Linked DNA regions of Pelodiscus sinensis. The protein of the gene in region 2 interacts with the protein of the main gene of each other region in a biochemical or structural test. Links are inferred from orthologs where the notes say so. Each region holds a gene or a part of one and is shown on either strand. Other genes may lie near its edges. The genes, in order: VRK1 and COIL.

Region 1 (16,608 bases), on a different chromosome or scaffold from region 2:
TGTTGTACATAATTTGCTAAGATTGAATGGACGTTAAAAGTTGTGGACCACTGTACTTTTAATTTAATTTTAGATACATCACTGGACTATTTCCCTCGGCATATCTGAAAGACATCCCTTGTCTCAAAGCATCTCTCTCTCTGTCAGTCGTATACAATTAACCACGAAATAAAATTTGCATATTTAAAAATAAATATTAATTCCATATTATCTTAAAATGCTTTACAAAATGATGCCCCAAAATCACTCACCTTTAGGGAGGACTACTGCAGTTATTTTACAATATACAAGCAGTCCCCGGGTTACATGGATCCAACTTACATCGGATCCCTACTTACAAACGGGGTGAGGCAACCCCGCACTAGCTGCTTCCCCCCAGCAGACCAGGGAGACGTAGAGCGGCTTTTCTCAGCAGACACCTCAGCTTGAGAATAAAGGACTGAGGGAAGTGAGGTGTGGGAGAATAAAACTGAGCTCTGGAGAAATGTTTGGCTAGAGTTTCCCCTACAATATGTACCAGTTCCAACTTACATACAAATTCAACTTAAGAACAAACCTACAGTCCCTATCTTGTACGTAACCCGGGGACTGCCTGTAGTAGTATCAGTATTTACATAGCAGGAAAATTATAACAAAATGAAAGTGTAGGGGGGGTGTTAAGGTATGAACAAATAAAATGTATTCAAATTAGAGTAAAAAAATCACACATACAGAACAGCATAATACCCAACTAACACCACAGTAGGACATATGTTTAATACAGACTTAGACAACTTGAAATTTCCTACATCATCATAGATTTTTTGGTTCCTGAAGTGTCCCACAATGAGAGACAGTCAAAGATCTCAGGCTCAAACATCTACACATCAACTGTAGCCCCACAGACTGACCACCAGGAGCCCCAAGATAGCCACAGCCAGAGCACAGGTATTTTATTTCAGTGTAAACATAACCTTTGCGAGGAAAAATAATCTATTGCCCCCAATAAACATATTGTTTAACCAGTTAACTGATTAAATGAGGATGGTTGGTGGTGCAGGGGGCTGCTCCAGCCCAGTCAGAGCAGCCCCTGCCTGTGGGGGGAGGGAAGGGCGCTATGAAAAGAGGCTGCTCTGGATGACCGGAGCATCCCCTGCTCATGGCAGGACCCCTGCAGGGCTAGAACTGCCCTGGCAAGGAACTGCTCCAGTCTCCACTGGTTAACTGGCTAAACAGTTACATCCCTAGCCTATAATGATACATAGTGTCATACGATGAAGTTTTCTATACAGTAAGTCACCTGTCTACACCTAAGTCAAAGTGGGCAATAATTTTTGAAGGGGGGCCACTTCAAAATGTTTTTGAAGTGTTTGCGGGCTGCCCTGGAAGGAGTGAAGCCTTTAAATAGCAGGAGTTGAAAGGGCTCCCACCTCCCCTGCACTCCCAGGCATCACGCTAGCAGGGGGTGGGAGCTACGAGCCCTTTCAACTCCTGCTTTTGAAAGGGTTTGCTGCACCTGGCCTCCCTGCTAGTGCATTGCCTAAGAGGTGGCATACTAGAGCTCTTTCAACTGCTTCTATTTAAAAGGGCTCATGCCTTCCCTATGGCTGACATCGCCTAACAGCTGTGAGGACGGCACAAGCTCTTTCAATAGAAGTTGAAAGGGCTTTTGCATCCCTGGATTTCAAGCAACACACTAGCTCTGGGGCCGGGAGCCACGAGCCTTTTTAACCGCTACTATTTAAAGGACTCGCATGAGACTAAAGGAGGGAGGGCCAGGAACTGTTGCAAGGGCTGGATCAAAGAGCTAAGAGGGCCTGGCCTGCTGACAGGCTTTTACCCACCCCTGACCTAAGTGCTTCAAGAAACCAACCACTATGCAGTGCAGTATCACTACTAGATTGGTGAGTACCTGTATACTGTTTTATACTTTCATTTTTATTGTATACTAATCCTTTGAAAATTGGTATTCCATTGGTAATTATAACTGTTAACCAACCAGAATGTTTGGCTAACCAGCACCTCCCATTTCTCCAAAGAGAGATAACAAAGGTTTCTATTTTCTACCTCTCAAGAATATTGTGAAACTTAATTGCATTCACACTCAAAGTGCTTTGAAATCCTTGGATGTACAATGCTATGTAGATGTCATATATTATACTGCCTCTGAAGTACTGAAAATATTTGACCCTGCTAACTGACAGGAATATATTTTTAAAGAATATGGTTGCCCCACTGTAGAGGGCTGTGTGCTCAGAAATTGCATAGAATTATATTATATTTTGCTCCTAACAAATAGAAAAATTACAACAGAAGTAGAGGGATGTTTGAACTCTTCTCCAAAACCACTTTAGAGAATACAAGGTCACTGCTTCTCCACATGCTATGCTTGAGATGTACATACAATTTAGCAATTTTATCTCATCAGTGATCTTTTTATAAATGCAATCTGTACTACTGTTGTGCTCTTAAATAAGCTTGAGTAGGCATTTCCCAGGTTGTGTTTTCTACCATTCTCAGTAGAAGTCAAATGAATATAAATCAAATTCATTTTAAGGAAGTATTTCTGTATGTGGCCATTCAGAATGACTATACTGCTGAATTCTTTTCTGATCTGGTTCTTTCCTAATTGTCTAAAAACTGTCATTTTTAGATTTGATTATTTCAATAGGATCTTTCAGCATAGAGAGGACAGTGCTGCTAACCTATGATCCTTTTAGTCAATAGGCAGTTATAGAAAGACATGAAATCTGCACATTATTTATACCACTTACTCATTGCAGAATTTGGGATGCAATAGTGTAGTCCATTAATGGACGAGCAAAAGCGTATCGGTTAATGCTATAGGCTACATGCATCCCTTCCCCTCTCCCACCCAATAATTTTTTTTAGCAGGCTGTCCAGCAGCCCAGCTCAGTCCTAGCTTGCACTGGGTCCAGGACCTACCCCTGCTGTGGCTCTGTCTTTAAAGTGTATTAGGAGCCAGATAGGCAGGTAGCCCACCTCAGTCTGGGTCTGGGAGCTCAGACCCCACTGGACAGGGGCTTCTGCCATCCTGTGCTGTTGCCTCTGTATCAGAGGCAGCAGAGTGGGATGAGACAGACAGTCCACGAGGGGAGTTGGTTTTTAAACTGGTTCCCCTCATGGACCAGCTCCTCAAGAGTGAGCCCCTGGGGACTATGGAATAACCAAGTAACCCATAAGAATTCATGACGTTAATCGACTATTCAATTAACTGACATTTAACATCCCTATGGAGAACTCCTGAAATCTTCCAGAAAAAAAAATCCTTCCTCTTCTCCACAAAAAGACACTTTTTAAACTTCTGAAATACTTCATTTAAATTGTGTGCAGTTTTAGAATTTGAGGTTTTATTCAAAACAAGGGATGTATTCTTGATGATTTCTTAAAGGCACCATAATAGCCACAAATATTTCATATATTTCCAGAATCAAAACCAGTAATTTTTACTAGGGATGTTAGATATTGTGAAACTGAATAGATGTGTAACAGCATGAAATATTAGTGGCTACAGACTATTCGATTGTCCTCGGAGGCAGGGCTGGCAGCCAGTGTGATCTCGGCCTCACTCCCAGGATGCTCCCTGCCACCCCGCGCTGCTCGCTCGCTCGCTCTCTCTCTCTCTATCAGAGGCAGCAGCACAGGATAACAGGCAGGAGATGGACTGCCAAGGTAGCCAATTTAAAAAACACCTCCCCACGCAGACAGCTGCCTGCCACCCCACGCTGCTACCTCTGATACAGAGGTAGCAGTGCAGCAGCAGTCCCTGTCCGCAGGGCACCCAAGCTCCCCACACACAAGAGTCTAGTCCACAGCAGCAGCCTCTGTCCCTGGGGACCTCAGACCCCCTGCGGACAGAGGATGCTGCTGCTGACCAGCTCCTGTTCATGGAAGCAGCACAGAGAGTGAGAGGGCAGTATGAAGCAGATACACATGGGGAGACTGCTTTCAAGCAGGCTCCTCTTGTGTGCCCGCTCTGGGGACCCACCTGCCCCCCCCACTGCTGCCTCCTACAGAGGTAACAAGGGGGGGACAGGCAAGAGATGGTGTTGGGGGGGAGCCAGCTTAAAAGCCAGTTCCCCGCAGCCCCAGCTTCATGGTGTCGCCTGCCCCTCCACCCTGCTGTCTTTATCAAAGGCAGCGGCGGCAACAGGGGAGGCTGCCGCAAAGCAGCCTCTATCCACAGTGGCCTGGGTTCACTGCAGACAGAGGTTGGTCCACAGCAGAAGCCCCTGTTCATGGGGGGTCCAAGCACCCCATGAAGGGAAGCCACTCTGCCTCTCACAGAACCGCCTGTCTGTGGCTAGTCTGGGCCCACCATGGACAGAGTCTCGTCTGTGGCAGCAGCTCCTGTCCGCAGGAGGTCCAAGCTCCCCACAGACAGAGACTGTTGCTGTGGACCAACCTCTGTCCATAGGGAGTACAAGACGGGGGGACTCGGTAAAGGTGATTTCCCCCAGTACCATCTCTGCAGGAGGCTGGGGAGGCAGAGGCACAGTGGGAAATGGCGTGAGCAGGGACTGCTTCAGTCCCCACTTGTGCCAGTTCCCACTGCGGGTGCTTCTGCTTTTGAAACGTGCAAAAAAGAAGTGCTGCAGGAAGCACAGGGTTAGCAGGGACTCAAGCAGTCCCTGCTCACCCAGTGCTCTCTGTAGTACCCCTCCCTTCTTGCTGTCTCTCTGAGAGGCAGTAATGGGGACAAAAGGAGTTGGCACTAGGGGAATCTGGTTTAAAAGCCGGCTCCCCCCAGAACAATCTCCAGGGTGCCGTATACCCCCCTCCCCACCTCCGGCCTCTGTTGCGGCCAAGCAACCCCTGTTTGCAGCAGCTAGGGGTGGACGTGGGTAGGGGAACATTCAGGAAGCATCTCCTGTCTGCAGCCAATCCTGGCTGCCATGAAAAAGGGCTGGTGCCAGAGCAGTCTCTGTTTATAGTGGCCAGCCCTGGCTGCTGCAAACAGTCCCAGTTCGTGCTAATCGCCCAGCAGCTCTTACTACATTTAAAACGCAGAGCTGCAGCATAGGTGGATCTGGAGCTGGCACAAGCCAGGACTGCTCAATCCCAGTTCAAGTTGGCTTCTCTGGAGCTACCCCCGCTGTAGCTGTGGTGCTTATCAACTAATAGACTATACAATTAACCAGATAATTGCATTTTAACATCCTTAGCTCCCACTACTCCCACCTCGTTGCTGCAGGGGGAGGGTGGGGAAAGGGGGAATGCGTGTAGTCAATAGGATTAACCGATAAGTTGAAATTTATCGGTTAACCATATAGTCGACTACATGTTGACATCCCTATTTTCTACAGCAAATGAAGGTCTAATTTATACAATAATTTTTTTCCTCCCTCAGGCCTTCTGTTACATGTTTAGAATAATGCTGCACATCTCAGATTAACTGGGGTTATTAAAAATCAATTGGCAGCAAAGTAATTGCTTCAGTTACAGCTATTTAAAAGTTCTTGCCTCTCAGTATTTATGTTCAAACTAAGCAGGGTGAACCTATATCGGTAGCTTTTAAAATATTTTATAAGGAAAGCAGAAGGCTGGGGAAACTGGACACAGACCTCTTCTCCCACAGGCAAAGACATTTTATTTTTGAATCCCTCAATACAGCTCAGACCTGCCAAGCCTAGATCTTTTAGAAGCAACCTCCCTGATTCTGGATTTAAACCATCTTCTCCAGACATCATTAATCTTTTGTACTTCAATGACATTTCAGATCTCCCTCAACTTTCTGACATCCATTCATACAATACTCAGACTGATAAATCCTTTCATATATTTTTATCACCTGGAAACATGTCTAGAAGCCATATTAGATATAACCCCAAAACCTCCACATCTCTGGACCAGCACTCAACACCCACACTACAAAGGAGCCCTTAAGAAGTATTTGGGGTAATTCTACAAGGAGTGGGTGGACTGCTGTTTTAATCATCATTTAGGGCCCCAAATGACCTGGAAAGTCAATGTTGATTAAGTGGTGGAATACATGTCTGTCTCAAGCAGCAATGACTTCAGTGAGGGTAACTTATATCAGGAAGAAGACTTAGTCTTCAAACACCACAAAACATTTTGCACCAGAAGAAACTCAAAATTCCCATACCAATGACAGAGAACATGTCTGGAAGGGCTCTCTTTTGAAATCCTTTGGGGACAAAGGGCTTGAGCCTACACCTGTACAACTCTGAGTCCTACAAAGGCTTTAAAAAAAAAAAAGCCAACTCATCTCCACTCTCCCAGCTGCAATAGGATAGACGTCCCCGATCCTAACACATTTGGGCAGGATTTTAAGGATATATTTCTAATAAGGTAAAAATTATGTTTTTCTCCCCTTCAGTGGTGATGGATTTCACGTGTGTGTCCCCCTCCTTGGTCCCCCCAGAGAAGAAACACGCTTCGCCCTTATCTGCACGGGCCCTGTGGCCCTGTGTACACGTGACCCGCCTCCAACCCCACGGCCAGGGCGGGGCCCAAGCTGAGAAGCGGGGAACCGCGGGGTCGGGGGCTCCACGGCGATGCAAGTCCCACCCATGGGGAAGGGGCCGGAATGACGCTCCACACCTTCCAGTCAAGCCTCCGCGGGGGGTGTAAATGGGCGCGGGAGGGGGAGCCAGCCGGGATCGGCCCCCAGGGCGGGCGAGGGAGGCTGTTCCTCGGCGGGATGCGAGTGGGGCCAAACCTTTTCTTCGGGGGGGGAGACAGCTACAGCCTCCCCCTTCCCTTTCCCGGACCGGAGCCCAGCTCCCGAGTGGGGGGGGGGGGAGGCTGAAGGTCCAGCCGGCTGCGCCCGCCTCCCCAGAGCCCCAGCGTCAAGTACCTCCTGGGTCTCAGGAGCCGGGCCCGGGCCGACTGCTCCTTCTGCCCTCTGAAATTCCCGCACTGCCCGAGCCCTCAGGCAGCCCGCCCGCCAGGCTACGCACATCCCACTATCGCCCTAGCCTATTGGCTATGTACCCGACAGAGCCCGCCTACACGGGAACAGAGGCTCCCGCGGACCGCATCGGCCACCGTTGCTCCCTCATTCTTCCCCGCCCCCTATGAGCCCGGTGCACCTTGGGGGTTGTAGTTTTTGCTCACCTGGCAGCGCCAGCCTGCGCTGTCCCTATGCGAAAGCATCACGAGCCGCAGAAGGGAGCCGCGTTCGGGAACGCCAGCTCGGAGCAGCTCGGCTATCTAATGAGTACGCCCAGGAGGCAAATGGAAAATGCAGCCAAGGAGGATGCATCTGCATAATTGCCAGCCGCAGGGACTCACAAATCCTGGGACTGGCTTCAAAGCATGAGATTTAACACTAAATGGGAGGTTCCCCCATGTCAAAGTCGCCACTCTCCTTCCATGCCAATACCAGACTCTAGCACGTGGATGAATTTCTGCATGTAACTGGATATAAGATAATATTAACGGATCTTTTTATTTTCTGTGGTTCTATGGGTACAACTTCACGAATTTCACAAATAAATCATTATGATGAATTATTTCATTTGTTTGATGTGCTGAGGAATTTTTCATTCAACCTTAAAGTTAGCTCGTTAGGCTCTAAATTCTCTGTTCAAAATTCAAATTCTGCATAATATTTTTTCATATATATCAACTTTACAAAATTCATGATACAGTTACAGACAGAATGAGATGAAGTGATAAAATGCAACAATATGGTTTGCTCCTTACAGAGCTTTCACAGGGTCAGAGCAGATTGTTCTCTAACAATAAAAGAATAAAATGTAGTAATATCTGTTGACAAGTAGATCGAGAGATTTCAAGCAGAGTTTGACTCATAAAACCAATATTGGGTGAGGACAATCAAATCACATCCACACTTACGTCTACCAAGTTGTGAATCTGGAAGATACATATAGCAGGACGAACAGAATTGAAGGAACGCCAAGAAGGGAAGAAAAACAGCTTTCAAGGGTGGAGGTTTTGCGCAAAGATCCCTAAACAGAGATGAATTGCTGGATACTCTTTTAATAAGCAGAAAATTAGAATGTGTTGATTGATCAAACTGTAATATGTCCATGATTATGGTACCTAGACATCTATTCTGTTTGAAAACCCTACCCCTCAGGTGCTCCCATATAATGTATTTTTACTGCTTTTCAACAAACTGCTTTGAATTCTATACCTTGCAGCCTGCTTAGCAAACTCAAAGAAAAATCAGAAAAATAAAAGTAAAGAAAGCAAAAGGTACTATGCACTGTAGCACTACCCATAAGATCATTCTTACAATGATTATGGAGGGGCACAGAGGCCAAATCTCATTGGGTGGCATTGTGACCCGAAATCATGTTCCTCCTGAAATTCAAAGGTGTTGGCACCTTCAATTCAAAATGTTGCTCCATCTCTAATTTTTGCATAACTGAATTAGAGAAAGCTCTTTTTGAAACATGTGGCCTTATAGTCTGAGCTGGAAACTCCATTGGACTCCTCTCACATGGGACCATTCCCTTAGGTTTTCTGCTTTGCTTTCCCCTCTTCGTAATGGGAATATTTCTTATGTATCTCTCAGAGATGTTGCAATAATATCTGTAGAGTGCTGTAAAGATACAATTAATATGATGCTGGATCATGCTTAAAATGGCTCAGACCAAATAGGATTATAATCCTGGCCAAAGAAAACAGAGCTCAGAGGTGCAAGCCAGATTTGTGAGAGGACATTGATACAGCTGGTCTGTAGTGATTCTTAACTGCCAAATACAACACATCATTAACAGAAAACCTGCAGGGTATGAATGGCAAGTACATCGTTACTTTGAGTATATCTGCACTGCATAGTATTGTCATGTGGTTTGATTTATTTTAGATCTGAGGGAAACCAGGACACTCCAGAGAGACTTGACCACTTTCTTATTTATTGCAAACTTAAAGCAGTTAATATAGTTGTTTAAATTTTACAAGCCTTAAAAATAATTACTATACAATTTAAACTTTAAATGCTATACATTCTAAACCAATTAGTACAGCATACAACAATGCAAAAGCAATTAATAGAAGATTTATTATATTACAATAATTAAGCTTAGTTCACTTAAACTTTACCTATATGCCGCTACAGTACCAGGCAGGAGCTCGTGGTCACTTTTACTTCCACTTTTCAGGACACCATGCACTACTATAGTCAGTGTAAAGAGTCTATTTACTTCTAGTTACAACAAACAGGACCTGTGGGTCAATCCTGCTCACTACCTACCATCAATTCTTCTTATTATGCTCATTTTATAGCAAAGCAATACTTGATTGTTCTAATAATATTTATCAATTGATTATGCATTGTGTAGGATACCTAAAATGCCCAATACTCTTATTTCGGGTACATCCTGCTACTCAGGATGTTGCAAAAACTATGTGCGTAGTTAACAGTTTTATGGCTGTATCTGGAATTTTTGCTTATAAGAAATAGAAGTACCAGTACAAGGTTGATTGTCCTGTGTTCATGATGCGGTCTTGATGTATGATGCTTAACCTGCATGATTGTGCAAAACATTTCTGCCTCCCAAAGCTCCCTCCCTACCCTCCAAGCCTTGCCTGCGTGCTTACGTGCACCAGACTTGAGACAGGCCTAGGTTTTGCTTGTTAGAGATCCGCACTGTGGTGGTCAAGGCAAACATTATTGTCAAGGCAGGGCCGTCCAGGCTCCTCTACAAGTATTTGCAGGTCTAGTACCCACGCATAATGACCCACACGATTTTCTAGCTCATTTTTGACTTCCCAAACCACAGTTCAGGACATGCTGCTTCCATTCATATCTGTGACAGGTTTTGTTCATACTAAAATAATGTAGTTCCTGCACTTTTCCTCACCTTTCCATTTTATACTGTTTTCTTCAGTGTATGTATAAAATAACTGAATACTTAATTTTTTATTTTATTTTTAAATAAAATACAGGCAGTCCCCGGGTTACGTACAAGATAGGGACTGTAGGTTTGTTCTTAAGTTGAATCTGTATGTAAGTCGGAACAGGCGCGCTTGGGCTGTCCCCCTATGGGCGTGCTCCACGGCTTTGCTCCCCGTCTCCCTGGTCTGCAGGGAGACGGGGAGCAAAGCCTTGGAGCACGCCTGCAGCGGGACAGCCCAGGCGCGCTGCAGCTGTCCCCCTGCGGACGTGCTCCGAGGCTTTGCTCCCCATCTCCCTGCAGACCAGGGAGATGGGGAGCAGCTTTTCTCGCCCCGGAGGACATCTCGCATCTGGGCGTCCCGCCGCTCCCGTCCTCCGGGGCGAGAAAAGCCCCATTCGTAACTGCTTTTCGTAACCCCATCCGACTTATGTCGGATCCGCGTAACTCGGGGACTGCCTGTAGTTGGGCTTGATAGAATTCAGTGGGGATTTACTTTGGTTCTGATCGATAATATCAATGTTTATTTTTAAGCTTTTTTAGATTTATCTATTTAAGTTTGCACATTTGTGCAAAATCATGGGTTTTAAATAAAAAGAACAAATATTAAAATTATCACAGTTGTCAAAAGTGATAGGGCAGTCAGACTATTTAATGACTATAGACATTAAGGTTCAAAAAGCTATAAGCTATATAACTGTTACAACACAAACTGTCATAACACAAAATATACAAATTAAGCATTCTTAAAACAAATTTAAGAATAAATCCTGCTTGAGAATTTACTACTTTGCCTATCTGAAATTTCAATATTAGATTAATCATTTTTTCTTCACTTTGAATGTGTACAGTAAAATAGACATTTACAGATAAAAATCTAATCTTTTTAAGCCTAAATATAGTATAAGAGCAACAGAACACTCCAGAGCCTTGTTGATCCATTAGTATACAAGGCAATCTGCCCAATGACCTCATGATGCTCCAAGATGTACCATGTATTAATAGGTGATTATTATTAATATATTAATATCCTATTGTGTTTTAGTGCTATTAATAACTAGTTAGAAACAAAATTGTTCCTGACACATACTTAAGGATTTCCCCATGTGTCATTTCCAGTGACAGATTTAGAGTTAGTGGGACCCTGTGCTTTATTTAAAAATAATAATAATAGTAACCTTTCCTCAGTCCACCTGAATGGAGTTTTCAGAGCAAAGTTTGAGAACTTCTGGTCTAGATGAAAACTTGTATTTGCATTAAGCCAACATGAAAAATGTGTAAAAATAAAATGTATAGAGGACGCATGAATGGAAAAATAAAAGTTAACTCCCTCTGAAGAAATGTATTCAATTTGAAAAAAAATCAGCTAGCTTTCTTTCTGTACTTTTTCTTTGCAAAATCGTCAAATAAGTCTTCCTAAGTGATATTTTGTAAAGAGGCACTTTCAATTGTCAATATTGCTGAACTTGTCAAATGTTCCTCCTTGTTCTCCTGCACCCCCCACTGCCCTCTCTGCAGAGGGACTGCCACTCACAGAGCAGCCACACCTCTGTGCATGGGTGGCAGGGAAGAGGACAGGGATTTGTCAGATCCAGTGTTGGACTGCCTAGCACTCAGGGCCCCGTGTCATTGAGGGAGCCTGTGCCAGGGCAAAGTATATTTCATTGAAAATCCACCCCAGGTCCTTTCATTAGCAGCAGCTAGCAAATTAAACAAATTATTCTATTATATTTAAACAAAGTTTTTACAAGATGAAGAACACAGTTCTCATTGATTAAGAAGCTAGATGAAGCTGAAAACATTATGCTGAGGGTGAATGTAACTGATATGAAAAGAGAGGTGTAAAACTAAAAAGTTTCATGTTTTATTCCATCTCTAACAAAAAGACATGAGGGTAAAAGCATTAATGCCCTTAATCTAGGATTTAATGAAAGATATTTTCCTGCAAAGGAAAGTGAATGATTAAAATGTATAATTTGCATTTCTCCAACACCACCTACTTCCACTCCTCTAAGCAGTTTATAAATACAGTGAAAGCTTTGTTATCCAGCACTTTGTTAACAACAAATCTTTGTTAACCAGCATTGCCCCAACCACAATACTGCCATCTCTTCAGGTGCACACAACTGACTCCCGCCTGCCCAGCTGGCCATTGCAGGGCTTCTGACAGCTGATGTCATCAGCAAGCACCTCCCTCCGACTCAGTCTGCTTTGAGCTGCCAAGAACCAGATCGGTCAGTAAGGGGTGGGGCAGAACAATAAGCTTTGTACTCAGGGGCAGCCAGAGGCAGGCTGCCAGCAGCTGGTGCCCCAGGCGTAATGCACGATCGGCACCCCCGCGCCCCAGGCGGAATGAATGATTGGCGCCCCCGCCTCCACAGCCCTGAATGGTGTGACGTCATCATTGGTGCCCCGTTTAACGCGGCACCCTAGGCGACGGCCTAGTCGGCCTATACGCACGGGCCGCCCCTGTTTGTACTCTGGCAATTCAATTAATGAGCAACTCCCATTCCCCATGAGTGCCTGATAACAAAGCTTTCACTGTAGTGACTTAAGCTTCAGCAAGATGTTGAAGTAAACAGACATTATCCTCATTTTACACATGAAGAAACTGAGGCAAAGAAAGGATGAGATAGTAGCTGTGTCCCGGTCCATGGAGCTTCCTGCTGCTTGCATTGGCTGCGATCCTCCGATACCTGCTGAGATGCAGGTAAATATAGTGGTGGTGGCTCACCAGGGACTAACCCTGTGGGGTTGTGGTTTTTTTTATTTCCCACCCCGGATGTAACCTGTTCTTAAATATCTCCAATGATGGAGATTCCACAACCTCAAGAATAGTCTTCTGGAAAATTTTATAAATCTTCAGTTTTCTACTAAATTCCTACCAAAACCATAGTCCTTAGTGAACTGTTTAGTTTTTCATTCTTCTGCTTGAAGAAAATACATACAGTTTGGAATCATCAGCAATCTCCAAAAATATTGAGCAGAAAACTGAATGATTTTTGCTCCCAAATTTAAAATGAATAAATTTTTTATTGATTTGGCAGAGGGCATTGTCCATTTTCAGTGATTTGGTTCTTCCGCAGCATTGTTGGTATACTACTTCAAAGATATAATTTTACTTCTTACAAAAACCTTATAAAACAATCAAATTATTAATTTTAATGATAAGAACATTATTTTTAAAATGGTTGGGGAAACAGCAATGCATATGACTTCTGTAGATATAAACAAAATACTAAACAGGGCATTAAAATATTCTGCAAGTACAACATGGATTAGTCAGTATTTAAACAGAGAGTGAAAGTCACCTTACACCTTCTAGAGCTGAAGTGCTATGCAGGACTTGTGTAGCATGCACTGAGGTAAATCTCTTTGAGATGAGAAATTCGGGAAGAGTCCATATGTTAAGATAGGGAACTTTATTGACTTGAATGGAATTACACAGTCGGGTGACTGAAGACTGAGTATGGCTTAAGATACATAAAGTAAATGAATAAAGAAGGTGAAAGAAGGGTTTGGGTCCTGGGAAAACATTACTGCATAACCACTATTGCCTGTGTGGAAAAGCTGCTAAAGAAAGACCATTTAGAAAGTTTCTCTTTTCCTGTTTGTGATGCTAACAGGCAGATGATTTAAAGTTGTGAGAGATTCATTTTAACTAACATGAAGCTTCCAAGACTAGAGTCTCTTTGAAGTGCACAGAATTCATCCAACTTAAAGGGCTTTCATGATTTTTCATTTTTAAAGAGCTTGAATATTTAGTTTGGTGGTGGTCCAAAGTTTATACGGGGCAAGACTTTATATTTTCATTTATCCACCTTAAGATGAAGTGTTTTCGCTCGCCTTAGTTTGGACAAGTTTTAATAGGGAGAGTATCCACTATATATATATATAGAGAGAGAGAGAGAGAGAGAATATCATGTCTGATAGATATATTATAGTACAAACACAAATACATGGGATCTTACTATAACGGTACAAAGAACTTCTGTTTATCATCAAACATTTCATATATCCCATTACATGTGAAAGAATTATTATCTATCCTGTTGCAGTGAAATACTTTTTTCCTATAATGGAATTTTACTCTAGAAATTTATTTTGGTATTAAAAGGTTCCACTTTATAATGTCTATGGTTCAATCAGTGATCTAAAAGGCACTTATATGCTTTGAACAAGATACATAAAACGCTTTTATTGCAACAGCTTTGCTGTATCTACCAATTTTACCATTGATCTCTTTCCATGTAAGGCAGTTCTGGAAGCTGCCCGTGATGTATAAAATCACATGGTGGCTTTTGATCTCCAGCTGGTGATTAAAGCACATTATGGAGGTTTGAAATTTTCTTGTGTCCATTAGCATACCTCTAAACAATTTACTATTAAACAGTAGCAATGATTTTAATACATGTTATTTCAACAAAAAAACAGGAATCTATAAGCTTAGTGTTTACTGTGCTTTGTAGCTTTGAGGACACTGATCCCTGAAGTGAAGCGGGTTTGGTTTTAGTGGCACACTGATCAAACAATGACTTGTTGAGATAACTAGTCTCAAGCAAAATGCAATGAAGAATAGAGATATGCATTTACTTTTAAACCCTTATTTGATGCAAACAAGCAGAGCCCTGGGCTGTGCAGGACCTTACATAAAGAGACTGGTATCCTTACTGCCATACTGCCTGCTGTTTAATGATCTCATCCCCATTTCTGAGGTTATCAGGCTGTCATGGTTTTGCCATGGTGGGTGTTTCAGTACCAACTTTATTTCTTATTCTTTCCCATTTTTAAAAAATGTCTCCAGGAAGAGTTTACCTTCCCTTTCAATTATTGCCTTTAGAAAAATCAGGCTCCCCCTCATTTTTATTGTATTGTGTTTTTTATTCTTTACTGTTTATATGATGGTAGCAATGTAAGTACTAGGTGCCCCCCGGATACCTAGGAAGACGTAGTCCCAGACAAAGAGCTCCAATATTTGTTCTATGATCCTCCCAAATTATAAATAAAAGTAAATTAATCTTTCTGTTTACTCAGTTTTTATAGGCATGACAATAAAAGTAAGCTCTGAAAGAGGTGTGAGTATTGACCTGGAAAGGATGTTCCAGCTGTAGTGAGCAGCATATGGAAAAGCACAGCAACCACTGTGGGAGAGTAGACAAAGGAACATCAAGGCTTGCAATCACTGGCAAATTGAGGGAGCCACACAATAAAAGACATCTTTGTTTTGATCCTACATTATATAATGCCTTTAACACTGGGGCAAGACACAATATAGATATTTGTGCCCAATTAATCTCATGCTCACATCATAGTATCATCAGACTTTGATAAAAGCAGAAGTCCAGAGCAGACACATCTATGTAAAGCAACTTTCCCCTATCATTTATGTGATATTAGCACTGTAAAATAAGCAAGGCACTGTACAGACGCAAGATACCATAGTTTCCATCCCAAAGAGCTTACGATCCAAGAAGAAAAATATAAGAAGGGCAAGTTGATGCAGAATACAATATACAAAATACATGCAAAATACAATATACAACCAAACAGCATGTTTAGCAGACTGGCTGCACCATCTGAACTTTCCAGTTAGTAAAAAGGTCATCTTCCTTTAAGAAATTCCTGATATTGCCCATAGGATAGCAAAAACATTTACCTTAATGGCTACATTATACCCTGTTACTATAGGAATCCCCATGTTACTGGCCCCTGGCAGACTAACTAGAAGTGCCTAGAGAACAGCAATAGTTCTTGCTGCTCTCCTGTACTCAAACCTAACAAGCAGTCCTCTCCGTTACACTGCTCTACACATACTTCTGACATTCATGGTTATGGTAATTTACAAATAATTTACATAACATGTAAACAAAAATCTACAATTTACATAAAAATTGTCTCAGTCCCAAATGGTACCAATTTTTCTAAGAAACTATAAGTAACTCCACCACTAGGTGGCCCATTGGTTACAAAAACTTCAACCTAGGAGTAAGAAACGCTCAACAAAATTTAACAAAAATGCAGTTAATTACCACTGACATTCTCTCCTTCATTACACAAGCACACCCTGAGTTTAATCACATGCATTTTATTGTAATCAACCTGTCAATCACATTTTGAAATATTTCATTTTTGACATAATTACAGTAGAATCCCTGCAGCCCGTCTAAATCATGGATATGGCAAGACTGATATTGTGTTGCAAAATGCGATCTGACAAAAAATTGATGCTTCTGCACAGAAATTAAAGAAACATTGAACTGCTAATGGTTTTGCCCTGCAAATATGTTACATTAGGTAGACTGTCAAGAGTTAATATAACGGCTGCCCACACACTGAAGAACATGTTGATTCCTGTCATTCTTTAAATGCCTAAACACTGTCCATGTCAATTTTTAAAAGGCTTCTGTGACTATATTTTGTTTAATTGGCATGATTTGTGTAGGGATCTGCTGCTTTAAATGGACCTGGTTTATAGCCTAGCAGATGAGGGGGAAAAGTAATGAACCAAGCATCAAGAAAGTGGGATACTGGGAAAGGAGTTGACCAAGAAAAAGAACTTTTCTAAGGTGGTCTTTACATAGAAAAAGTTGGACATCTATACTGGAATAGATAGAGATCAGCGGTTTGCAAATGGATTATGCTCAATATAAAACTCACATAACATGCTGATCACTGTTTCAGGAATAGTAGTTTGTTTTGGGATCCAATCGAAAGCACCTTTTGATGTTTAAAATTAATCTTCTAAACACATGAACTATTTATAGAGGTAGGAAAT
Region 2 (15,825 bases):
TGCATAATAGTCAGTTTTCCCAAGGTGCACAGCATGTGCACTACACATTGCAGAATTAATCCAGGATGTGAAAGCCTGAGTAAATTGGTGGCTTATATTCAGTATTACCTCCTACACAGATACGATGGCCTTGAACTACTCCACTTTAAACAGTCCTAATATTTTCCTTCTCACCATTCAGAAATCATTCAGGGCCTCTAATCATTTTCACCAATTTATCTCTGGCCTTAGACTGGATCTGCCCTTCAGGCTGGATCAGTCATTCAGTTACATGGTGATAGAAATGTAGCCGTGTTAGTCTGGGGTAGCTGAAGCAAAATGCAGGACAATGTAGCACTTTAAAGACTAACAAGATGGTTTATTAGATGATGAGCTTTCGTGGGCCAGAGGGTCTGGCCCACGAAAGCTCATCATCTAATAAACCATCTTGTTAGTCTTTAAAGTGCTACATTGTCCTGCATTTTGATTCAGTTACATGTTTGCCAAGTACTACCACAATCCAAAGAATAATAATAGGTCTTGGTTTATGCCAGTGTTTCCCAAACTATGGGCCATGGCCCGGTACCAGGCCGCGGGAAAAAAATACCGGGCCTCAGAGTGGCTGCCGGGAAGGGAGCAGAGCGGGGTGGGCTGGGAGGGGGTGGCAGGGAACCGGCCTCCCAGAAGCTGGGTTGGGGCAGTGGGGCTGTCCCGCGGCGATCCACGTGGGCGGGCGGTGAAAGCAGGGCTGGGGGCAGTGGGGCTGTCCCGCGGAGATCCAGGCAGGCGGGTGGCAAAAGCAGGGTTGGAAGTAGTGGGGCTGTCCTGCGGAGATGGGGGGGGGGGAGGCAGAACCAGGGCTGGACAGGAGCTGGGGGAGCGGCTGGCTGGGAGAGATCAGGAGGAGGACGGAAGAACCAGCTGCCGGAAGCAGGGCTGGATGGGGGCAGTGGGGCTGGTCGGGAGGGGAGGGGTCATCAGAGGAGCAGGGCTGACCAGGGGAAATTGGTGGGGGACGGGGGGAACTGACCACCGGAAGCAGGGCTGGACAGGGGCAGCAGGGCTGGACTGGGGAGATTGGGGAGGGGGGTGGAAGTGGGACTGACCTGGGCACATGCGGATCCTGCAGACCCTGGCAGATGAGTGAGGGTATGTCTACACTACCACCCTAGTTCGAACTAGGGTGGTAATGTAGGCAACCGGAGTTGCAAATGAAGCTCGGGATTTGAATTTCCCGGGCTTCATTTGCATAAAGCCGGGCGCCGCCATTTTTAAATGTCCGCTAGTGCGGACTCCGTTCCGCGCGGCTACACGCGGCACGGACTAGGTAGTTCGGACTAGGCTTCCTAGTTCGAACTACCGTTACTCCTCGTGAAATGAGGAGTAACAGTAGTTCAGATTAGGAAGCCTAGTCCGAACTACCTAGTCCGTGCCGCGTGTAGCCGCGCGGCACGGAGTCCGCACTAGCGGACATTTAAAAATGGCGGCGCCCGGCTTTATGCAGATGAAGCCCGGGAAATTCAAATCCCGGGCTTCATTTGCAACTCCGGTTGCCTACATTACCACCCTAGTTCGAACTAGGGTGGTAGTGTAGACATACCCTGAGTCTGGCTGGGGATTCCATTTTTCCCCCTCCCCCCCCCACATACCCTCCCAGGAGTAGTTGCGAACTGCCTGGCAGGTAGGCACACTCAGGCAGCGTGAGCACATCTACCAGCCAGGCAGTTCGCAACTAAGAACTGATACACCTAATTATAATAAAGCTTACCTAATTAGAAAATACCAGGCATTTTATATGTCTGGTAATTTCTCAATTTCTTTCCCGGACAAAACCTTCAAATACCGGCCTGTCGGGTACAAAACTGGATACCTGGCAAACCCTACCCTTCCTTCCACCCTCCCTCCTAGTCAGATACCCTACCCCCAATCTGCTCCTGCTCCCGCCTCCTGGAGTGCTCATGTGACGCCGGGTCCCCCAAGCCCTGGCCCAGGCTGGATGGAGGATGCAGCTGGGTATAATACTGAAAATTTATTCATTTTTCATTCTTTTTTTTATATGCGTTTATATTTTTGGGCTGCAAAAAACAGTACTAAAAAAAACCGGGTTCCAACTAAAGTAAAAAGTTTGGGAAACCCTGATCTAGCCAGCGTTCTATCCATCTTACAGTCCATTTATCCAATCCACATTCCCTTAACTTGCTGGCAAGAATATTGTGGGTGACGGTATCAAAAGCTTTGCTAACGCTGTCGCTGGGGGCTTTGGGAGGACCAGAAACAACTTATTTGAATATTTGTGATTTGCTTAATGAATATGCAAGTATGCAAATGAATGTTACCAGTCCTCCAAAAGCTCGTGAATGGATTTCCTGGTCCCTGTGTCAAAAAGTTTGGGAACCCCTGGTTTATGCTATATGCTTTTTTATATAGGGTAGTCAGAGCTAAATACATACCCCATTTGCAAGGAGTTCCATTATATAATTTAATTTATATAACAGCTTTATAATATTTTCAGTATTCTTTTTCTGACCTGAAAACTTAGTTCAGATATTCTCTGAGACCTAAGTCATGGCTCAAAATCTTATTCCTGTATAACTAGAATATCATGGCAGAGCAGTATGTTGAAATCAAGATTCCTTTTAAAATGTCTTTCACAATATCTTACCTGAAGCCACATAATGAGAGGTAATTCCGTGAAATTTTTGGTAGGGTTGTTTGCATAGTAGAGCCACCAAAACATGCTTGCATTGCTTCTGACTGTTACATACCCCCATGATTCTCTTTGTTCTTGTGATTGTTTTAGAACTGCACCTAAAGAAAAAGGTTATCTGATTCAACATGCTAGGGTTGGGCATTTGACCAATTCAAAACCAACAACAGGCCAAATATTTTAAAGAATTAATTTATTATAACAGTAACAAAGAGAAAGATTTTATTGATTGTGGTAGGCTAGGCCTTAAATACTTATACCTAATCTCAAAAAGTAAGTTTCGAACAGTTATTAACTGAGAAAAATGTGAAACCCAGTGAAATGAACTTCTTAAAAATGAAAGGATGGCACCATAATACAAACAAAAATGTAAGTCACTGCCTATACAAAAGCATTCTGGCTAGAATAATTGATCATGATCAGATAATGGATGGTCAGTTATCTGCCAAGCCTAAACTAGAATGTGAAATACTTGGCCTTAAAACACTTGACCAATAGCAACTTAGCTGAAGATTTCAGGAGCAATATTAGTGGCCTCGAATGAGCCAACATTCTGCTAGCAGTGTTATCAGAATGTTTTGAAAACACCACAAGTAGAGGAAGGGTTATCAGTGTGACTGTTCTAAAATAATTAGTTCAGCCTTATTCTCTTCGGCTCTGATGTGAACCTTTGTAGCCTCAATAATTCACATTCATTCGTATTGCCAAAATGGACTTCAGCTCATCTGTTCATGTTGTGCCATGGTTTCAAAAAGGATTGCATTCTCAATCCTCTGCATTAGCCTGTGTCATTCATTGATAAGCTTTTTGGGACTATTAACATCACCTAAAAATGCTGCCTGCTTTGAAGTGCAACAATGCATTTGCCTTATACTCAAAAACTTTCTGCTGTCCTATCAAGCAATCACACCCAAGATAGGTATTTTGAGCTTTACACCAAACTCTATGGCTCTGATCCTACCATTGGATCAAAAAAGTAGACCATGCACTTATGAAGTGGGTGCAGGCAAGAGGCCTTTATTTTCAGGCAGCTTCACTCAAGGGAATATTGCATTACCCAGTATCAAAGGGCTTGGAACATACAAGCTGAGGATGGAAGCCAAAGGCCAAGCCACAAAAGTCTTGTGCTAGGAGGGAAAATCAGCATCAAGTAAACTAAGATTTACCTTTCCCAGTATAAGCGTGATTCTAACTTTAAATCAATTGTTAGGAATTAACTGGTCAATTGCTTACAATGATCAACAAAGGTGTGTCTTGAAGTTATTTTTCTAACTTCAGGAAAAATCCTGAAGCTGGGCTTGAAAGCAGTTTAACAGCTGGGGCTACGTCTACACTGGCCCCTCTTCCGGAAGGGGCATGTAAATTTCACGAGTCGTCGTAGGGAAATCCGCGGGGGATTTAAATATCCCCCGCGGCATTTAAATAAAAATGTCCGCCGCTTTTTTCCGGCTTTTAAAAAAGCCGGAAAAGAGCGTCTAGACTGGCCCCGATCCTCCGGAAAAAGTGCCCTTTTCCGGAGGGTCTTATTCCTACTTTGAAGTCTAGACGCTCTTTTCCGGCTTTTTTAAAAGCCGGAAAAAAGCGGCGGACATTTTTATTTAAATGCCGCGGGGGATATTTAAATCCCCCGCGGATTTCCCTACGACGACTCGTGAAATTTACATGCCCCTTCCGGAAAAGGGGCCAGTGTAGACGTAGCCCTGAAGTGCAGAGTATCTGCTTGATTTTTACAAGTCCTTGTCCTTTTTATTACCCCCACAAGGTTGCATTGTACAGTAGCTCACAGTAAATCAGAGGTGCAATTTGAATAAGGAATTTTTTTAGCTTAAACATTTTCTTTTGGAGTTTCACTTTATGAAATTATTTCAAGAAATACAGAGGTCCAGCAAGATCCTCAGTTGTATGACCTCTCAAATTTAGACTGACAGATCACATGCATAGTCATTTATCAACATAAAACAGTCTCCCCACTTATATCTTATCAATAAGATAACAGTAAGCTCCAAAACTTCTCAGTTACATTAAACTGATGATGAAGAATGATATTTTGTCTGAGAAAAGTTACACAACTGAGACTTTATCTTCACTTGTCTCTGTTGGGAAACCAGGGAGGGTGAGACAAGCAGCAGATAGTCCATAGAAATCCTCTTCTGTGTAAGAAGGTGGCATCTTTAACCCACCCTACACTAGCTTCATGCTTTTGAGGTAGGGCTGAGGTGGAAATCAGCCACATAATAACAACTGACACTATATCTTAAGGGTGCATAGCACATACTTCTACATTAAAGAGAAGCACATAACTATCAAATTAAAGCACCAATTCCCAACAACAACAACAAATTACACACAATTTGAAACTCAAGCTTTTACCTCAGTGGTGGGCAGCCTGCGCCCGAGGACTGCATGCAGCCCATTGGGGTTCTATGTGTAGCCCGCAAGACGACCATTGCCCATCCACAGAGTTTCCAAATTCTGCTAATTTCTGTCCATGTCGTTTTTTTCCTACTAGTATTATTAAAGTGACACATGCTTGAAAGCAAGAGCAGATGAAGTACATGCTGATTGCACACAACATTGACTGTGAGCCCCATGTACTCCCTCTGCATCCAGTCAAAGTGCTGCTAGGATTCAATCTGCACACCCTGCAAATTCCAGGTACACAAGAGCAGTTAGCAAAACTACCTTATCCTGGGAGACGGGCTTGGTTATGGCCCACTGAGATGAACTAGGGTCATTTATGCAACCCACTCATTAGCCTAGGTTGCCCATTGCTGCCCTAACTTGCAATTCGGAGGCTGTACAGACTGACCCATGCAGAGTTCTATTTAAGTCAGTGGGTTCTATGTGCGGGAAAAGAGCCATTCATATGGTCCTTATTGAAGGATACAGGCTTCACAATTCAGTTCTTATAAATACAACATAAATAAAAGACTGTCTGGTTATCACTTCAATAATGCAAAACTACTTTTGTGGAAGTAAAAAGGACTTACTCCTTGAGATTAGTGGGCTGCAGAATACTCCCACAGCAGATATGTACGTTTTTAGGACATTGAATCAGATAGATCCCTGATTCACAGGCAAATACTTGCTCTTGACTTCAGTAGGGTAATTCACATGGGTGAAATTTATCTCTATTGTTAGGGCCTGATTCTGAACACAGTTCAGACATTTTCCATTGCGAAAGACTAAGGGAACAGCCAGAGTGTCCCAAGAAAGTGATTACACAATTAATGTCACGGGATAGGCAAAGCTTAAAAGAGCATGAGCCCCTTAAAAATCACTGCACAAAACGCTCAGCACGTCTGCATTTAAATGCTTCTGCCAGGACATAGGACAAAAATAAATAAATTAATAAATGGGGGAAGGGGTTGGTACACACGGTGAAGAGAGTCATCATTCATTCCTCAGCGTTCACCTAACAATAAATGCCTTAAAGTTCAGCAAGCCACAAAATCAGTTTAGAGCAAGTTTACTAGGAAGGTGCTTTGAGCAATGTCTATCACCCTAGTCCCAGTAACGCCTCATGGAGCTAGTTAAACATGCTCCCTCATACACTTAGCCTTTACCAAACGTACCTGAACCCAAAGTCAGCAGGAAAAGCATCGGAATAACATGTTGCCTAAGCAGCAGCTCCATCTCTGCAGCAACTGGGGTGGGGAGTTTCCTGACTGAAAATCATATGACTCGAGTCTCCAGTCAGCTATGTAGTAAAAAGGGAAGTGGTGGCTCTCAGGTTACAAAGGGAGCCGGTTACTAGCCAAGGGCGCCCTCTTGCCTCTCCTACATGATAAATGCAAGAGAGATCTGCACTGGTTACACTGTTAACGTGGTTCTATCTGTGCTTTACCAGACTGTCTGATTTCCCCATTTATGCCACAGAATGTACCGACCTTGGTAATAGGAAAACTTTCTTTGATGCTGGGCTCTAACTGCAGCTTGTGAAATGAGGAAAGGAAGTGTGTATAAAATCAGTGAGTGAAACCTGTGCTAAAGGGATTTAGATTAATCTGTTTCCACTTCTCTAGTGCTTTACGGTTTCCAAATTCAGATTCCCTACAGATACAACTGTAAGCAAATATTTTCCCTCCCGTTCCCCCCCCCCCCCAAAAATGCCCTCATATTTTAGATTCTAATTTTATCCTAGTCAGGATTAACACTTTCAAGAACTCCTTGTGTGTATCTTGCAGCTCTAACCCAAAGTGGGCTGTGCCCATTAAAGCTCATGATACCATCTACATGTTTTAGTTAGTTTATAAAGTGCTACCAGACCATTTGTTGTTTTTTAAGTTTATCCTGTACAGACTAACTCGGCTACCCCCTGAAGCTTATTTTTCTCATGTGAGTAGTGAAGTTAATGAGACTCCACACAGGAGAAAGGCCCAACCCTGTAAATCTGACTGCAATATCCTAGATTTAAAATGTTTATACAAGTTCTTCTAAGAGCATAAAAGCAGAATTGTTTTACATGATTAGTTTTTCATGGGGTGTGCTGGAGGACAGAAGGAGGAAAACATTTAAATGATAATTAAGGCTTTACTCTTGCATCTGGCTCTACCCTCGGCATATTTTAATACTATGCATGCCCAGTTGCAGGATCCGGGTCTAAAACACACACCAAGGTGACAGAGGTAGTATATTTTATTAGCTCATCTTCCGTTGATGAGAGACAAGCTTTTGAGACACACAAAGCTCTTCTTCAGGTGACTAATTCTCGGGGATCTCCCTATGAAAAGGAGGCTCTATGGAACACTGTCGGAAACAGGCTCCCTGATCCTGCTCTGAGCTCCACCGCCCGGCAAAAATCAATACCAGGCCAAAACCAAAGTCCACGAAGCGCTCAGTAATGAACACACGGGGGCAGGGGGAGGTAGCGGGATGAATAGCAATGCAAAGCAGCTGCTCCCGCCTGCCCTGTTCTCCGGCTGCAGTTCGCCACGGCTGCCGGCAGGTGGCGCGCGCATCGCGAAGCTGCCGATGCCTCTTGTCCCGCGTCGGGCACCGTAGCCCCCTTCCCCCGCTCTGGCCTCCTTGTTCAAGATGGCGGCGGCGGCCGGGGGAGGGGGCCCCGTGCGGCTCCGGCTGCTCTTTGACTACCCGCCGCCGGGGAGCCCGGGCTGCTCGCTGTGCTGGCTGCTGCTGGAGCCCAGCCAAGTGCGCCTGGTCACCGACCTCATCAGCCTCATCCGGGACAAGTTCGGCTTCAGCCGCCGGGCTCAGCTCAGCCTCTTCCTGGAGGGGGCGCTGCTGCCGCCCACCGAGAGCGCGCGCCTGGTGCGGGACAACGACTCCCTCAGGTAGCGGCCAGGCACGAGGCTCGCTCAGAGACTGGGGGCGGGGTCAGGCAGCTGGAAGGCGCGAGGCGGCGGCGGGGGGTCAGAGGGAGGGGAAGGCTCGAGGCAGGGGGGGGGAGAGGGTCAGAGGGGGGGAAGGCGCGAGGCAGCGGGGGGGGGAGTCGGAGGGGAAGGCGCGAGGCAGTGGGGGGGAGAGGGTCAGAGGGGGGGAAGGCGCGAGGCAGCGGGGGGGGGAGTCGGAGGGGAAGGCGCGAGGCAGCGGGGGGGAGAGGGTCAGAGGGAGGGGGAGGCAGCGGGGGGGGGGGAGGTGCCAGCCTCCCAGAAGTGTGGGGGGAGGAGGGAGGGTCCCTCAGGTAAGAACATAAGAACGGCCATACTGGGTCAGAGAACGGTTCATCCAGCCCAGTGTCCTGTCTGCCGACCGTGGCCAATGCCAGATGCCCCAGAGAGAGGGAACACAATAGATAATCCTCACTCGATCCCTCCCCCACCTCCAGACAAACAGAGGCTAGGGACACTGTTCCTACCCATCCCGGCTAATAGCCATTGGTGGACCTAACCTCCGTGAATCTATCTGCCGCTCTTTAGAACCCTGTTAAAGTCCTCGCCTTCACCACATCCTCTGGCAAGGAGTTCCACAGGTGGACTGTGCACTGAGCAAAGAAGAACATCCTTCTGTTGGTTTTAAACCTGCTGCCGTTTAATTTCATTTGGTGATCCTTAGTTCTTATATTGTGGGAATAAGCAAATAATTTCCTTATTCGCTTTTTCCACACCGGTCATGACTAAATCTGTTAATGGCCCTGATTAACCGCAGCTACCATAACGCCACTACCCCACATGCTCTGCATTTAAAACTCAGAGTTTAAAATGAAGAGCATTCAGGGGAGCTGTCTGCCACCCATGATACAGAGGCAACAGTGCAGGGTGGCAGGTGGGGAGCCAGTCTAAAAACCTGAGCTCCCCACGAACAAAGGCTACTCTGTGTGATTCAAAGAACTAGATAAATTTATGGAGGTTAGGTCCATCCATACTTATTAGTCAGAATGGGTAGGAATGGTATTGCTAGCTTCTGTTTGTCAAAGGCTGGAAATGGATGAAAGGAGAGGGATCACTTGATTACCTGTTTCTGTTCACTACCTCTGGGGCATATGACATTGGCCACTACTGAAAGACAGAATACTGGGCTTAGATGGACCATTGGTCTGATCCGGTATGGCCGTTCTTATGTGTCACAGGCAGCAGTGCAAGATGGCAGGCAGGAGCCGGTCTGCCTGGGGAACCAATTTTTAAACTGGCTCCTCTCACGGACGGGTTTCTGCCTGCCACCCTGCGCTGCTGCTTCTGATACAGAGGTAGCAGAGTGGGGCTGGGAGCGCACTGACTGCTGGCCCCATCTCCAGGGGCCATTGAATAATCTGCTAACAATTGTTGTGATTACACAATTACTAAATTAAACAATTTGAAACATCCCTACTCTATTCTCCTTGTGCAGACACCTTTTAATACCTTTCAAATCATATCATCTGGTCATATTGTAGCCGAAGTTTTAACACTCTTTTGAAAAGCACATTTATTGTTGTCTGGAAGTCCTCTTAAAATCTTGAGATTTTGGAGGCAGGTTTAGAGTGGTATACAAACTCTGTGCCTCAGCCCAAATATCAGAAGTTTGGCAGGTGTGGTGAGAGGAAATCTGGGGTGCATGGCAAGGCTTCTATGCTGCTGGAGGACAGTATAACCCATATTCCCTGCAGATTGCCCACTGAGTGCCCTTAATACATGGCATCTGCACTAGGGATTTAAAATCCTATGTAGTTGGTTAAGTGGTTAAAGGTGGTGATAACTAATTAACTGATTAAAGGGAGCTAGGCAGTGGAGTTGGTGCACCCTCTCTCCCAACCCCACAGGAGCAGCCCCTGCCTGAAATGCACCCAGGCATGCTGTGGACAGAGGCTGCTCTGGAGAGCCAGAGCAGCCCCTGAATGAAGAGTGTCTGCTGCAGAGAAGCTGTTCCATCCAGGCTAGAATGCCCTTGTGCACGGCAGGCCTGGTGGGGCTGGAACAGCCCCCTTCACGCTATGGGCAAGAATCTACTCCATCTCCCACCCCTTAATCGGAACCGGTAAGAATCCCTTGTTAAGGGGGATGCTTATTGGTTAACCTTTTACATCCCTAATTTATGCTGGCATGTGGATCGCTTGGGCACCAGGGATGTGTTGCAGTGTGCACTACCCCTTTTCCCACACATGAGCATTTGGGGATTAAGGGTGTAAGTGACTAGTCGAGTAACTACTCGCTTTCCCTCCCCCCTCCGTGCTGCCTCTGTATTGGGGGAGGTTCCCACAGCACTGACTCTGCGGTGGACAGAGGAGGCAAAGGCTCAGTGGTCTGAGATCCAGCTTGCACCAGGTCCTGGACCTACCCCCCACTGCAGCTCCGCATTTTAAATGTAGTAAGAGCCAGGTGGGCAGATAGTGGAAGCCGGCTTCCACTATCTGCCCACCTGGCTCTTACTACATTTAAACTGCAAAGCTGCAGTGAGAATAGGTCCAGGAAACAACACAATCTGGGACTTAGCAGACCCGCATGAGCCAGGGCTGGGACCTACCGCTGCTGCGGCTCTGCAGTTTAAATGTAGTAGGAGCCGGGCTGCCTCCACACCTGGCTTTTGCTACATTTAAACTGCAGAGCCACTTCAGGGAAATTTATCAGCTAATTGTGTAGTAAATACAAATTTTATCAACTGCACAATTAGTCAGTTACCCACTTCTTAACATCCTTACTGGGGATTTTAGGCTGTTTGACAGTTTAATCTTTGGCGTACTTTGTTTTTGAGATTAGTTTGTTTCCATCTCTTCGTCTGCTGAGTTAATATTTTTTAGCTCCTACGTGAATAGCTATGACATCCTAGACCAGTGGTCTCCAACCTTTTTACACCCAAGATCACTTTTTAACTCAGTCCCGCCCTCTCTTCTCCTGTCCATCACTTGCTATCTCCAGCCCTTATACACTCTGTTAAACAGTTTATTTTTAAATTATGCAATATATAAAATTAAAATCACGTTTATAGTTATGAAATAAATGGTCTTTTTAATTCATGCTATTTAAATGTCAAATGAAGCATTTACAATTATACATTTTGTTCTCTGCTATTTTGTAAATCTAAAATCAAGTATTGATAAGTATATATTTTTTCTTCCAATAACAAAGTCTCAGTGTGACACCTGTGACTGAACAGTATCTGTCAGTGTCTTGAAGTCTGGGTTGTAGTCTGAGTTTGCTAGTCGTATACAGTCCATCAGATGGGCATCTGTGATCCTGCGCTCAGCTTGGGAAGCTTGCTCCAGCACAGCTGGAGCTAGACGCAGCCTCCCTGGGCTAAGCGCAGGGCAGCCAGGCTGGAGGGAAGAGAAGTGGCTGCCTGGGCAGCTGGCCATGGCGCTCAGCCTGGGTGCACCAAGCTCCATGTGGGCAGGCGCAGAGGAGAAGCCGCCAATCAGCTGGAGCGTGGGGTAGCCTCTTTCAGCTGAAAGCCAAAGTCAGCTTGCTGGGGTGATTCAGCCCTCCCGACGTCTCAGCTCCCAGCATTCTCGCAGCTACTCGCCTGTGTTGTTGCTCGGTGAGTAGCAGCTCCTCAAATGAGGAAATCTAATGTAAATGTTCTGCGCAGGCACACAGTTCAGAGAGGGCTCAAGAGATACTCTTAGAGCCCCTGAGATCTACCGGTAGATCACGATCTACTGGTTGGTGACCACGGTCCTAGACCGTAGTCTAATAACTATTTTAAACTCAGTATGTAGAAAGGAATATTAATGTACTAGTTGTACTGAACATTGGTTTATTGTCTTTTTGACAGAGTTAAATTGGAAAAGATAGTTTCAGATAGTTGTGATGAGATTGGTAATGGTATAATTTACTCATCAAGAAAAGAGAGAAAAAAATATAGCCAAAAGTTGGAAGTGGAGGGGAATGCTAAAAGTGAAGATGACAGACACAGAAGGAAAAAGAAGAAGAAACAGAGCCCTGAACATCTTTCTTGTAAGGAAGAGGACTCTGTAAATGTTCAAGACACTCGGAAAAAGTCCAAGAAAAGAAAAAGAAAAGATGTGAATGAAAGAAATGATATCGCAGGAGGAAATGATGACAGCAGTCTTGATGAGTCCAAAAAACTTAAAAAAAAGTCCGAGGGAAAGAAAGATCTGGAAACAGAAAGAAAGGATGCTAAGCAGAGAAAAACAAGGCCAATTAGAGAAAAGACTGTTTTAGAAAAAGCCAACCACAATTTCCCTCTGAATCCTAGTAAAAGTAGCTCAGTAAAAAACATTGCAGCACAGTCTAGCAAAAAGAGGGAAGGAATTTCAGATCGTGATTCCTCCAGCACATCATCTGACAGTGAAATGGATATGAAACAAAATAAATCCTCACATAAACCTATGGCAGCAATGCTACACAGAGACAAATCCCAACTTGCAAATTCTGTTATAAAAACTGTTGTTGCTAGTAAAGTTACTGCCAAGTCTACAGATGAAAATTTCCCCAAGACTGCAATTAGTAAAAAAACTAAACCCCAGTCCTCTAGTTCAGATTCTAACTCTAGTATAGAGATGGAAGAAGAGCAGCAGCAGCAAAGCAATGACTCAAAGGGAAAACTGCTGCCTAAAAATCCCCCAGTTGTGAACATTATGGCAAAGTCCCCCAAAGCAAAGACCTCTTCTTCGGAGTCTGATAGTTCAGATTCAGAGACATTTGTTATTAAAAAGCCCATAGCAAATGTTGGCTTCAATAAATCCTTAGTAAGAAGTGGTGGTAAACAGTTGCCAGCTAGCAATCAAGGACCAGCTGTAAACTCCAGCAGTTTTGGAAGGGGACTTGGTAGAGGAGAGGATAACTTCTGGAGAGGACATAGGGGCCGGGGGTGTCGTGCGGTGATCCGGGGTCGGGGCCGTGGCCGTGGCCGTGGAGAAAGCAATAGCTTCTTCTTTAACTATGGCGATGAAAACCAGAAACATCAGCAGTTAAATGAAGAAGCAACAAACACTTCTGTTGTTATCCAGGTGAGTGACTATTTATGTCCACATAACATATTTTTATAAAGTTTTTATTAATTTATAGTTTTCTTACTAAAATTTCAGTAATTAAATATACAGAAATGCAGAAATATCACTAGCTCTTTTATAGTGTTTCGCAACACTAGATCTCAAAGCACTTAACAAAGAAGGTTGGTATCTTTATGCTCATTTTACAGATATGAAAATTGAAGCAAGGAAAAGAGATTTGGCCAAGATCATTCATGAGCCTGGTGTCAGAAATGGGAATAGAACCCACATTTTGTGAATCCAGATTAAGTGCTCTGCGCTGCCTCTCTCATCTAGGCTACTTCTACACTGCAGAGCTATTTCGGGATACCTTTGGTATCCCGAAATAGCTATTCTATGTCGTAATAGAAAGTCTGTTATATCAAAATATAATAGGTTCACTATTCCAATATTCCTGTAAACCTCATTGCACGAGAGTTAAAGGAAGTTTCAGAATAGCGCTTTATTTCAAAGTTACCTTGAAATAAGCTACACAGTTTGATCATAAATACCAAGAACAAATAAAAATGAAAAGAACAAGAGCAATATAAAGAATACAACTCTGTTGTTCATTTAGTTACGGCCAGTTGACTCATATTGTGACCAAGTGTTTATAAATACTATTTTTTGTACATTATACACAGCTTGTGTTCTACCTCTTGGTTTGAATTAGATCCCTACCAAATTCATGCTACATTTTGGTCAGTCTCATGGTTATAGGATTTTTAAAATAATACGTTTTATGATATCAGCTATTTAAGTCTGAAATTTAAAGGTGCTGTTATTGTATGAGTCCTGACTCAAAATGGAGTTATGAATGGGTTGCTGGGTTACTCTTACTTCTGCACTGCTGCTGACAGTGGCATCACCTTCAGAGCTGGGCAGCTACAATGCGGTGGCTGTTGGCTGGAAGCTCAGCTCTGAAGGTAGAACCTTCACCAGCAGTGATGCAGAAGGATGGCATGGTATGGTTGCTGCCTTGAACAGCTTGACTGTCATTCAGCAGCCGCCACTCTCTGGCCGCTCAACTCTGAAGTCAGTGCAGAAGTAAGGATGGCAATATAGCAATCCCTCTAAAATGGGTGGGGAACCTCAGGCCTGAGGGCCAGATGTGGCCTTCAGCTTGCCTGGATCCAGCCCCCAAGGCTCTGGGCCCTCCCCAGCATTAGGGAGCCTGGGCTGGTCTCCTGGCCAGGAGCAAACAAAATCTACTAGGCTGGACCCACATAGCCTCTGGCGTGTGAGTGCAATGTGAGGAGTGTTTCTTTCCTTCTCATTCAGGAGCCACAGTGAGGGTTTTTTTTTCTGCTTCTCACTTGTGTGTGTACCCCAACTGATTTTTCTGTGGGTCAGTGGCCCCCAACCCCAAAAAAGTTCACCACCCCTGCTCTAAAATAACCATGTGACCCACTCACCCCTCACAACTCCCCTTTGGGTCAGGATCTCCAATTTGAGAAATGCTGCTCTTCCTCTTGAAATCTGTAAAGTAAAGGGTCATCTTCTTCTTAAAACCTTGTACTCTGAGTGGACATCTACAAGTCTCCTCCATTTCACTCTGTCTTGAGACACAACTTCCAGCTGACTCCAGGAGTACCCCAGTTGTTGTCCTTCAATCTCAGTAGATCTTCTCCATGTTGTCTGAGGTCTTTCTCTTTTGCGTTTTCCTTGCGGGTTCAATGTGAGAGCTTGACGGACTATGCGGGATGATGGTTTTCTGAGTGTGTGGCCTAGTCATCCCCACTTTCTTCTCTTGATTTGAAAGTAAAGGGTAAAAGCACATGACATTAACATTGCTTATTAGCTTTTGTTAATTAAGTAATTGAATCACTGGGTTTAATGTTTATTTCACAGAATCCAGTGGAAGTTCCAAAGAGGGACTACAGTGTACTACCTCTATTAGCTGCCCCTCCACAATTAGGGGAAAAAATTGCCTTTAAGGTAAGGAAATCCTAAAATACATTGTGGTATTAGTGTGGCTCAGAACTCTTTCAGATGTGCCAGTATAGTACATTTTGCAAGATATAACACAACTAGCTCAGATGTGACACCCCTCAAATTTTACAGTGTTCAGACTTGCATTATTTAATGACTATTGGTCTAGAAGTATATGTTTTTATTTATTTGGATACACAGTTATCCTAGTTTGCTCTAGCTTGTAAGTAAGCGGAGGAAAAATGAGTCTCAGAAGGATTGACATTACCACCTTTCCAGTTGAACTATAAAACTAGGCCTTCAACTATTAGGATGACAACTGGGTATCCAAAGAACCTCTTCTAATCTTTTTCAGTGAATGACATTTCTGTCTAAATCTTTTTCTAAGAAATCTGGAACTCTGACTGGTTCAAAGTCCTCTAAGCCTTCTGGTATGTCTTATATTTGCAAGTAGATTTAAAAGTATTTATTAATTTCTCTAACCAAGTATTTTCTTGAATAAATGAACCTGCTACAGTTTTTGATTGTGCATATATTTTAAAACAAGAAGATTGATCCAGCATTGCTTGGATCCTTAATTTTTTTTAAAATAAAATGAAAATGTACATGCTTCATTTAAATCATTGTTCTGGGGGATGAGGGGTTCAGTATGCAGGCTGCCCAGGGAAGAGAGGATTACTCCAGCCTCCTCTCGCTGCAGCACTTTGGCACCAGGTGAGAGGTGCCTATCCATGGCGTCTCCAGCTTTGGTGGGCATAGCCATGAGGGAGGTGAATGTACCCTGGTTGGGGTAGGGCCAGGTTCCTCTGCATTGCAGTGCTCTCCAACCAGAGTGAGGACT

The links.
Region 1: of the proteins of COIL (region 2) and VRK1, one has a biochemical effect on the other in vitro, tested with the Homo sapiens proteins (2 studies listed by BioGRID and IntAct, with this or other methods). The link is inferred for Pelodiscus sinensis from reciprocal best matches to the Homo sapiens genes COIL and VRK1.

The regions. Positions count from the first base shown.
Region 1 is NC_134714.1:26,959,090-26,975,697, forward strand, and holds the start of VRK1 (serine/threonine-protein kinase VRK1), read right to left. Parts: upstream 6,980-16,608; 5' UTR 6,821-6,979; intron 6,726-6,820; exon of another isoform or gene 6,565-6,725; intron 1-6,564. UniProt on the Homo sapiens protein: Serine/threonine kinase involved in the regulation of key cellular processes including the cell cycle, nuclear condensation, transcription regulation, and DNA damage response.
Region 2 is NC_134730.1:18,931,140-18,946,964, reverse strand, and holds the start of COIL (coilin), read left to right. Parts: upstream 1-7,678; 5' UTR 7,679-7,723; coding exon 7,724-7,980; intron 7,981-11,833; coding exon 11,834-13,031; intron 13,032-14,903; coding exon 14,904-14,990; intron 14,991-15,825. Other genes in the region: SCPEP1 (retinoid-inducible serine carboxypeptidase), read right to left, coding at 2,642-2,787, 6,262-6,322. UniProt on the Homo sapiens protein: Component of nuclear coiled bodies, also known as Cajal bodies or CBs, which are involved in the modification and assembly of nucleoplasmic snRNPs.